3 linked regions of the Lepisosteus oculatus genome follow. The protein of the gene in region 1 interacts with the protein of each later gene in a pairwise test. Links are inferred from orthologs where the notes say so. Each region holds a gene or a part of one and is shown in the gene's direction. Other genes may lie near its edges. The genes, in order: dtnba, brain-enriched guanylate kinase-associated protein and sntg2.

Region 1 (3,758 bases):
ATACAGATGAAAACAAACCTGTGTGTTTTGAAGTGGCTAATTCTACAATGCCGCTGACAGTGAGGGGAAATGCCACACCTTCATACAGTACATATACTGAATTGCAATCGCATGTAATGTGTATAATGCATGCAATGCAAAGGTTTTGCAAACAAAAAAAACTTAAAAATTTCGAAGTGTTTCATTTTGTTTAGCTTAAATTTTATTCAAGTTGAACGTAAGAATGGTTACAGATGAGAAGAGGCCATTTGATCCACCTAGCCTGTTTTGGTATGGTAATGAGCTACACAAATTAGAAAGTCAGTTCTGAAATTTGAACCTGCTCTTTCTGAAGCCCTTAAAACTTCTACATTGTTGTTTCATAACATTTATTTGTCTTAAAGTCAACATTGGCTGTCTTATGATAGCAGCTGTAGTCTTTGCTTTTGAAAGAAGCTATAAATTAAGAGTTATGCAGTTTAAATCAATGAAGATATTTTAGTACTGCTGCTTAAATGATTGTAGCCAACTTATTTATGACTAAATGTTCGTTGCATTTAGTAAATATTTTTTTTATTTGGTGTTGTATGATTGATTGTATCATTTTGGATTATATTGCTTAAATTCCACTGTATATGGGAGATTTTGCCATCATTTTACCACTAAAAGCTACGTGTTAGGCCATATACATATTTTCTAACTAATGCCTAAACATACCACCTTGTTATTTTATCTCATTAATATAGATCTTGGCTTGATTTCTTGAATGTGTTAAAGGGTTACCAGTATAAACTGCAAAAGCAATGAGGCACATACTGTAGTGCCAAATTTATTGCTGTCAGAAGGTTATGGTGTTAAAGATATACAGTGCAATATTGTAATGAAATTAACATTCAGCATACATGATCCGTGTATATACTTATTCTCCTTTCTGTATGTAAATTTAAGGTGTTGAGAACCTCACTGTTGTTTAAAACATTGCAGTGAGATGTTATCATGAAATACGGTGTAGAAACTGTAGGCTGTATGTCTCTTTTTTCATTATTTTCTCTTTCACTCTGGCTGTGCATATCCATGTCCTGAGGAGATGCACACAAAAAGGCAGATGGGTTCACTGAGTCCTTCAGGGGCCAGAGCTGGTTCATCACATCTAACTGAGCCGGGTTGTCAAATCCATGAAGCCACTTGTTTACTGTGGCTGCTACCAGAGTCAGCAGTCATGGGAGGCACACAAAATGACTGCAATTATCAGGTACTTCTACAATAGTGACTCAGCATCACACGGCTGTAGTTCTTATGTAAATATGGCTGACAGCCTCCTGGATCTTGACAAAGGGTGGTGTGTACTGTTGAAATCTAGTTCTGTGTCTCATGTTGGTGTTAGTAAAGCACACGTACATCAGATGTGAGATACATACAGTTTTTAGGAACAACTAGTTTTTGAAAAAAAATCAAAAGTGTAGCAGAAAATATTTTTAAAAATAAATAACATTTTTATGTAATTAAAAATAGTTTAATAAAAATCCCAGAAAGCAACTATTCTTCCAGAGAGGAATTATGATTAAAAATAGTTATGTATTTACAAATCATTCAAGTACATTCATCTTGAGAATACAAGACCTTCATTTCTTATCCTCAATTTAAAGGAAGCTATGCCTTGTTGTTGTCAACCTTTTTAAAGACTTCAGCAGCTATCAAGAGTAGTTCTCAAAAGACTTAAAACAGATAAACTTACAGTTAGGGAGTAAATATGTGACGACAATGATTGAAAATGCTAAATGTCCCTGGCTGTTTTCCATTTTCAAAAGGTCCTGCTTTGTATCAGCCTCCTTCCCATCTGCAAACTTTGCAGTATTTAAGTTTTTGGGAATTGAATTTTGTATTTTATATTTTTTCTACTACCTAAGCAGTTTATTTTAAAAAAATGTCTTTTTTTAAAAAAATATTATTTGAATATTATAACAAGTAATCACTTAGTTGGCCCATATGTTATCTCATATAATTGAGCCCATATACTTATATACAGTATTTCATCTCTTTAGAAAGTTAGAATTTTCCAATAAAATGTCCATTTGAGTGGAATATCATTGTGGAAATAACATTTTGAGACCTGTGTCCCATTTGTTGATGCAACCCTGGCTCCAGTAGTGCTTCAATCTTTAATCAGAATAATATTTGTCCCCCTATAGGTTTAAAATACATTTATCTTGAGCTTGTGGATCTTTCCTTGGTCCTCCATGTTACCAGTATTGTTACTCCAAATACCTTCTTGTGAAACGAGTCTAGTAGATGTGTGGCTCAACCATTTTGTTGAGACAAATGTGTTCATGACAGGGTGCCATTATCTTGTAAAGGGAGAATAAGAATTCCTTGCTTATTCATCCTCTGCTCAATGAACTGTCCATTGAAGAGCTCAGCAGTCTTTTGTTCTAACTTCTGTTTCAATGAGGACAGTTAAAGGTTTAGCATCAGTCATCACCAAATAACGTCACAGATCTGACAACTTAATACAATGAGAAGAATTGAGCTACCCAGGTGTTGGTCTCTTATGCAAGTGTATTGGAAATGTGATGTATTCTGTAACCATATGCAATGTGACTTGCAAGGTTCTTTCTCAAAATTCTCTTTACAGATGATTAGATATCAAGTCAAAACACACAAAAAAAATTCTAACTGCATCCCAACTAATATAAATTGGAAAGTAATTTTAATTGTAACATTATGTATTAGTATTATAATGAAAAATGAAGCATCCGTGTATATGAGGACTGTATAATACTCCTACTGTACATTTTCTAAATCAGCATACACTTAATTTATTAAAACCTACATTAAAACCTAAAATATACTAAAAAGAAAACTTTTTCTGTTTAACAGTGGTGAAAGGCATTGTTGATACTGTAGATGAAGAAATCAGAAACAGGTTTTGACTGCTTACTTGTGATTATACATAATGAAATCCATATGATCAGAGAGCTTAACTTTCAAATACTCTGTGATTAAGTTGTTTGAGCACTTGTGATCTTAGTTCCATATACAGTACTGTAGTTTAAAAACTAGTGACAATCTGGTGTTCTGCCATTGTTATTATAAGTATGCAAACTAACTTGATTTTTAAGAGATCTTTTTATCAAAGATAAAAGGTTATATCAAAGGTTTCTGATAATGAAATATTTACCATTTATTGTCGCAAATGATAAATTCAATGGGAATGATACTTTCTGTACAACTTCCTGTTGCTTACCAACTGTTTAAACTGCTTACTTGATGTAGTTTGATGACATAGTGTACCATACAGCAGGTCACATTGACTAAATCTGATGGCTTAACTTGTCGTGTTTTACTAATGGGTTATGCTATTTCAAGACATTTTTATCACTTTGATGGATTCTGCTGCCTCAAAAGTGGGGAGGGAGATGTTTAAATTGAAGGACCGGGTGAAATTAAATCTGATATACTGGATAGCATTCTTTTTAACTCCTCTTTGGAGCCTGTGAGACATAAGAGAGAAGGAAAGGTCAGCTTTTCACATGGTTTCATTTTTTTCTACCACAGAATATCCTCGGTATACAGCTCAAAATATTATATTGGCACAGTCCTTGTCCAACCCAAAGACAACTGACACAGCAAGCAATAAACTGAGAACCCATGAAACGGTTCAAACTGAAAAAGTCAAAGAGAAAAGTTGTGTAAAGCCAACCTGGTAGGAGACTCAGTCACTTAGTCAGTTTTGTATACTGGACAATTGATTCCCGCACACTGTAAACTATTGTTATTCA
Region 2 (3,758 bases), on another chromosome or scaffold:
TAATACAAACATGTAAACACATGTAAAAAACATCTGACTTAATATACAGTACTATACACTATATACAGTACAATGTACTGTATGTGTTTAATAGGTCTTAATAGTGTGTGAGAGGGGTAGATGTATATACCATCCTACCCACTACAACACATCCTGTGAACTTGTTACCCCTAGGAACTGCACCTATGATGAGGTGAATTGTTTGACCTGTCATCTTGAGACATAGAACTCCCTCAACACTTTACAAGATATTAATGGCTCCATCAATGGCATTTTAATACGCCTGAACCAGGACAGATGATTTCTGTCGCAGACAATAAACAACACTCACTGCATGTCACTGAACTCCATAACTACATTTCTAGCCATTGATTTATAGCACTCTAATTCCGCTTCACCACTCACATCCAAAAAATACCATGTGGCATCTACAATCAATATCCCATACCGTGGAGCCACTGACCTAGAAAACCTACTGTTTTTTGTTGTATCACATATCAATAGGCTGCCTAATTAGCAAATGCAGAGAGAAAAATAGTATCTTTTTGATTGATCCCTTGTGTCATTTTAAAATGGATACATATAGTATAAAAATTCACAAAGCCATAAAATGGTCTTTCCTTTTTTTTCCAAAACAGTGAACTGTGTGGCTTTCTTTTTGGCAATGAAGAAGGTAGAGTCAGCATGGGAGAGGTGATGGGTTTGTGCCCATTTGGATATTCAGAACAAGTACCGTATGTGATTGGGTGAATAACACTTTAAAAACAGTGACGCTCACTGGACCATGATTCAGTTGTCAATTCACACAATTAGTGATTGCACATCTCTAACCCCAAAATGCAGAGCCGCTCAGTCAGAGTGGCCAAAGTGGCTTCTGGTGCCCCTCGTCAGCAATGCAGACCAGGGACAGCAGGCAGTAGGCAGGATACAGCCTCTTCCTGCTCATCCTCTTCCTGTTCGCCATTTACAGATGCTGGCAGTGACAGGGAGAACTCCCTTCACTATCACCCGGGTTTCTTCTTCCCCACCAGGAGACCAAAAAATTGCAGCTCCAGTGAAGAGGACAGTCAATGTGATACAAACAGTGCCGATTCAGAAGTCACATGCCTCATTAGGAGCTCCACTGAAAGGAACAACAGGGAGATCTTTAGAGGTCATCTAAAGTCTAGCAGGGAATTTTGCAGCTCATGCCCCAGTACGGGCAGAAGGGGCTGCGCTCGGTCCGAGTGCCAGGAAGAGACAGAGAGGGCTGGGAGTGGTTCTGAGCAGAGCTTGACCTTCAGTCAGGGTTCTGATGCCACGTCAGCGGTGCTAGAGCAAAAGATCGAAGCCAAACTTAAGTTCTCCCAGTTCCTGGATGAGGTGACCTTCAGAGTGCTGGATCCCCAAAGCCTGAAAGCCTTCAGGGTTTTGGACAAGAAGGACTCCCATGTTCAGTCAACAACTCCACTGTCTGTCTGCCGATTCTCTGAGGAAACCGAAAGCATGAGAAGGGCGCAGGAAGCTGGGAACCAGCAAGAGCCTGCTGGGAAGGCTTACCTCGAGACTGACATAGACAGCGTAAGGAGCGAGGACACCCCTGAAGCAGCCAGTCCAAAGGGAATCGAAAAAGATGCTCCACAAGAGAGGGAACAAGCAGGAACATCCTCCACAAATGAGATCCAGGAAGAGCCTGAAAAGATGAGGTCCCCCAGTCCAATCTTCAACAGACATCAAGGCACTCAAAAATCGCCTTTCAGGTCTACTTCTTTGCCAAGGGGCTTAAGCTTGGTGAGTACATGCTCTTGGATGTACAGTATGAAACACAACCCCTCTCAGAAAATTGCATACCCTCTCAGCCTTTGAGAAACTGCACTTAAAGATCATCTTGAACCACTTGTAAAACGATTTATTTTGTTCAAAACCGGACATTCCTGCACTTACTGTATTAATGCCTACACAGCACTTTATTTTGGAAACTGAAATACCTGTAATGTATCAAGCTTTCAAAGAAACATCTCATGTACTGTATCTTGATGTGAAGTAAATGTAGGAACTAGAAGTGGATCTGATGTTTTGAGGACATCCCTTTTTCCTTTTTTCTTTTCTTGTTGAATAGTTTTAAAGCTTGCTTACAGACACTGATTACATTTTCTTTATCAATTATTTGCTTCATATCAGCTTTCATCCATCCTTTGACCTTACAGATATATCCCTTTCAAAAATGTTTGCAACTCAGCAACAAATGTAGGGCATATTTATTTTTTATTGATTAAAATAATGCTCAGGCTATAATCTTGATGTTATCTATCAACAACCTCCATTAATTAATAACTATGTTACACAAAAATAAATGCATGTATATACTGTATTCTTAAAACTGCAATATCTGCAAAAAATACATTAGCGCAAATTGCTGTAGCAGGAATGACAACATGAAGTCTTTGACAATGATTAAGCATTATAACTTTTTCCTTTACGGCCCTTTAAATAACTGTTTTTTGACCTCCTTATCTGGACAAGTTATCGTTAATTCCTGGAGAAGAATTTGACCCAAGCATATTAATTAACCCACTGAGCTCACTTGCTCGAAGTCTTTCATTATCTTGGATGTGTTTTCAATTCTATTCTCAATCGGGGCGCTTATATCTTGGTGCTGTGCTTGCTGTGTGCAAATTTCATTCCTTTCTAAAAGCAGTTCAAAAATATGCAGAAAAATGAATGACAAGCTCTCTTTCTCCTGCAGAGGGGGCGTAGAGGGAGGTACTCATAGTCTTTTTTTAAAGCCTCAAGCAGATCTGCTTTCTTGCACCAGAGTGAGAGATTGAGTATGTCCCACAATCAGAAGCATGCCTCTGAAAGCGCACTACATTAATAATGCACATCCAGTGCATTTCTTTTTTCTGATCTTTTGTTGTGATTTTTAAATACCATCAGCTAGAGGTAATTTTTTGGCAGCTGGATTACCTCATTATGTAGGACATAGACATGAAGTAAATGATGAAGTAAAAATGGAACATCTCTCTTGTTTCTGCTTAGAATTCAGTTTTTTCTATCACCTTAGCAACTGTTCGAGGGACTGAGAAAATGCCTGCACAACCAGTTATATACAGCGAACACCATACCATACTTTTCCCGTGTCTGAGTGAAATGCTTCAACTGCATCCTTCATGCAAATGAATAAAATATGAAGATAGAAATGTGCTTGGGGTATAGAGAGTGCCCCAGTGCTGCAGTAAACATTGTGGATGCCTGCATCAGAACACTGTGTGTGCGTTTGTGTGTGTGTGTGAGCGCGTGTGGGTGGATGTGTGTGGGTGGATGTGTGTGTGTGCGTTCAGTATTTGCAGACATGACCAGTTGTTTCGTAGTCCGTTCTCACTCATGACTGAGAAGCAGCTATACTGTAAATGTGAAAAAAAGACATTCTAAGACAAAATTCCACTCAGGTAGAAACATAAAGGTCAGAATAAAATCTTTGTCAGGCAGACAAATTGCAGCCCTTGACCTCAGCTGCTGGATTTTCTCATGTCCATTCACCGATCTGCCTTGTTTATTGTTTTTTTAATTCAGTCTTACTGAAGGATAAACCTCTAGGTTTTCTTTCACTAGTGCCTAAACATAATTCGAAATGCAAAACCATTGGATAGATGTTCAGTAACTGAAACTGCCCCTTCAAAAAAAGGGAAAGTTAAAATCTCAATAATGTTATCCTTCAATTTAAGTGAAATTCAATATCGGGAGCACTTCAAACTTGTAATTGTAACGTGAATGTTTTG
Region 3 (3,758 bases), about 5.0 Mb from region 1:
GTGTTTCCACTTATGTATTTCCTGACAATAAGTGGTGAGTAATTATTACAATGTGGTTGCAAGGGAAGCTGAAGTCAGGACCTGATTTTATCTTTGAAATTTTAGCCTGATTTATTTCATTTGCCTACAACTGCCAGGTTCATAATATAACATTCACATTAGCTAATTTTTCATTAATACGCAACTAAAGCTAGACAAATCTATTATCATAATGCCTGTAGCAATTATAATAGCAAAACCAGAGTTATGCTTGCAAATCACATCCTCTAAATAAATATTCTAATAAAGTAATAACACAACAATGGTTTCTTTGAATTACATACAATTTTTTGTTAGCTTCATCAAAACTGAACATATTTTGTTTGTTGAGCTACAATAGTGTTTCAATTCAATTATAGAATTATTCATTTGACTAATTCCTGCTTGCTTGTCTTGAAATCTTTGCTCTGCAATCTACTGTAAATGACTGTCTCTGTATCTGATTTGTATGCCATTAAAGTGTAAATGTATCTTCATGTATGGGTGTCAACTAAAGAGCTACAATGAGTCCAGTGAATTAGGCAAATATAATGATTTTATTGATAAGAATTGAAAAGCCATTTGATTTAAATTGCAGTTGCTAACATTATTTTCTTGAGTCTATAAATACTACTTCCATAGCACTCTTTTCCAGGGTAGACATTTGCAGCTGCATGCTGTGCAACTAATTATTTTAAGAAACAGACACTCAGGAGTTAATACATAACACACAGAAATGTCATCACTCGGCAAATGGGAGGAGAACTGGAAAGCCAGCAGGTGGAGAAGGCAACATGCTGTACACAGATTGAACTGTGCAGCACACAGCTCTCATCCACAGCACATTATGCAGCTGGCTACTAGCAGCAGCATCAAAAGAAGCAAATGCTTGGCAGACATACCCTGAGGAGTTAGTTAACTTAAAGAGAGTGGGTCTCTTATCACTGGGCTCTCTGGCCGATTTCCTTCACTGGTGTGTAAACCTGAAGCCAATGTCAAATTAAAGTGCTCTGACGCCATCCTGGTGGCAAGCAGGGTATAATCCCATTAAATTCCTCTCCGTCTGCAAGCAAACAGCATGCTGCATCTTTCTCACTCCCTCTGTTTCTTACAATCTGGGGAAGGATGCATCAATAGCCTGCATTAGCCTGGCATTGTTGGATAAATGACTGTTAACAGACCCTCTGAGTTCAATGTTCAAAGCCTCCAGCTGAATGGGAAATGAACGTGGCCGGGAATCACCCTTCAGAACTGCTTGAGCGCCCTGACAGCCTTCTTGTACCAACTTGGGCAAGTAGATTGCTATATCTCAGTTTTTTTGTGCCGTTGCTCAAAGTGGAAGATGCATGCTTCAAGCAATGTGTAGAATATGATTTAATAAGTAAGAATGTTTCATGTGATTTGCTGGATTTTCTTTATGAATTAGAAAAGTGAAATAAAGTTAGGAGACATAAATGTGATGCATGTGAACGATGTGATGCTACAGTTCCAGAAACAATCATTTTGATTCTTTTGTGATACACATGTTCCTTAATGTTGGTATTTGGCCAATGCTTCTACAAACAATTAATTTATTTTGAGTGAAATACTGAAACTTACTCTATGAACAGAGCCTTCAAACTTTTGTTTCTTTTTATCAAGCTGTTCAGTACTTATGCAATGTTGCCAATATTGTATCTGGGGTATGATTTCAAAAATTCTGAACAAAAATATAAGAATGAAAAGATAAATATTTTTTGAGATGTTATGAGCATGAAGTAGCTAATAATGTCAATTTAAGTTATTATATCTATATAAAATAGTATTATCTCTTGATGTAAAATAAGTTTCCAATTTAATTTTATGAATTTCTGGAATTAAAAGACAAAAACAGTTTAATAGTGTACGCAGGTGTACTCCAATTGAGTTATTGTTAAATTAATTGGATTATTTTTCTTCTTTCACCATTAGAGAAAAGCACTGTAGTTTTCAGTATGTACAATATGTAACCTGAATATACTTTACACTGAGATTAGTAATTGCAAAATTTCCTGTGTTACATTACTGTATGCCTAGAAAGCAAAGCCATCTAATGACTCAGAATAGCACAGCAAACAGAAAATGATTTACAGCAGACAACGAATATTGAAAATGGCCTTGCTAAGTCCAAGCAAACTTGCAGAGCATAAAAACCTTAATCCTTATCATACACCACTGGAGAAAGAATTGTAATTATGGAGTTTATACAAGAAGGAACAAATGAAATGATAGTCCTACTGATAACATTAATAAGCATATAGATTTGTGGCCATATTATATAGTATTTGTGTAAATATACTGTATGAAGTCTTAAAGGTTCTAGACACTCTTTCTATGGCGTACTTTATCTATCAAAGGACGAATTATACCATTTTTAGCACAGTGCAGGAAATTGTGTCAATGTGATTGACATTGAACAGTTTTAATTGAATTTTAAATGTGATTTAGATTCTTATTTTCTGTTGTTCTGTATATTTCCTCCCCCACTTTTTAATTATGGACTGATGTCTGAAAATCACTGCCATTTAATTGATAAAATATATGATTTCTACCTTTTCACACACATATATATACTTCAGATTGTGGTAGATATTTTGTTAAAACGTAACACATAAAGGGATTGTAAAGTGACAGACACCCATGATATTGGCACTTACATAACACAGAATGCTTAATCAAGTACAGTACAAGACTCTTTCATCATATTAGCCACACTGCCTCTTTCTGAGTTGAAGTTGTTTATGCTGCTAAATGCTTTAATTGATCGGCACCCAATTTGTAAAAGTTTATTTTCTTGATTACTGTTATTATGATTATATGCTTTTTTATCACTTTTAATGAGTACGGCATATATGATGAGATACAACAGATACATCTTTAAAAAAAGTAGCAAATGTTAACCTATATTGCAAACCAACCAAAACAGAAAATTATGTGAATGGGACATTATGATTGATCAATTTTGAAGATAAAAACTGAAGATGAATGCTGTTATGTCTATGGCATTCCCAGGTTTGAAGCGATCAAGTGTGGGAGAAGTAATTTTTCACATGGAATCAGTAAGTGTTTTGCCACTGTTAGCAGCAAGGCAGGCTTGGCAGAAATGACTCAAGGGTCTAACGAGCCTACGCAGCTGCAGCTGAGAAACCCTGTCTCAACCTTCTTTGGAGATCAACACAAACTACTGCAGAGTTTGAGGAGATAGTCAACACTATTGTGTTAAGGTGTTTGTCTAGTATGTGGACCCCCTAACCAGCTGTAATTGATAAGGCAGTTGTCTGTCAATTTGCAATTTTGTCACATGGTGCACCAGTAAAACAAAATCTTTGAAATATGTTACATGGTAGTCTGTTGAAATTGGGACTGAGCTGCCTTTGCCTGGCAGAGAGACATTCGTGTGAGCAGTTGAATACCCTTTATCACTTTCACTTGGAACTTTCCAATCTATACTCTTCATTTTTACTTTACCACAAGCATCACAGAAAAGATGATTGATGGTTAGATCAATGTACCTATTTTTATACCACTCATGTCCTTTTCACATAATTGTCGCCTTTATACGGGATGCAGTCTATGTTTCATTAACCTTACGTTTTGCTATGTAAAGCAAATGATATGGCACTGATACTATTTTGTGTTGTTTTCACAATACACTGACATTGCAGTTCTGTTCATGTTGCGCTTTGAAATTTGTTCATGAAATCCCTATTTTTAATTTTTAT

The links.
Region 2: the proteins of dtnba (region 1) and brain-enriched guanylate kinase-associated protein interact in binary tests that used the Homo sapiens proteins (3 or more experiments, as listed by UniProt). The two-hybrid records come from large-scale screens. The link is inferred for Lepisosteus oculatus from reciprocal best matches to the Homo sapiens genes DTNB and BEGAIN.
Region 3: the proteins of dtnba (region 1) and sntg2 interact in binary tests that used the Homo sapiens proteins (3 or more experiments, as listed by UniProt). The link is inferred for Lepisosteus oculatus from reciprocal best matches to the Homo sapiens genes DTNB and SNTG2.

Annotation. Positions count from the first base shown.
Region 1 is NC_090697.1:47,498,014-47,501,771, forward strand, and holds the start of dtnba (dystrobrevin beta), read left to right. Parts: upstream 1-1,085; 5' UTR 1,086-1,154; coding exon 1,155-1,231; intron 1,232-3,662; exon of another isoform or gene 3,663-3,682; intron 3,683-3,758.
Region 2 is NC_090703.1:11,631,196-11,634,953, forward strand, and holds the start of brain-enriched guanylate kinase-associated protein, read left to right. Parts: upstream 1-1,398; 5' UTR 1,399-1,485; coding exon 1,486-1,770; intron 1,771-3,758. UniProt on the Homo sapiens protein: May sustain the structure of the postsynaptic density (PSD).
Region 3 is NC_090697.1:42,477,390-42,481,147, reverse strand, and holds the start of sntg2 (gamma-2-syntrophin), read left to right. Parts: upstream 1-833; 5' UTR 834-1,239; coding exon 1,240-1,308; intron 1,309-3,758. UniProt on the Homo sapiens protein: Adapter protein that binds to and probably organizes the subcellular localization of a variety of proteins. May link various receptors to the actin cytoskeleton and the dystrophin glycoprotein complex.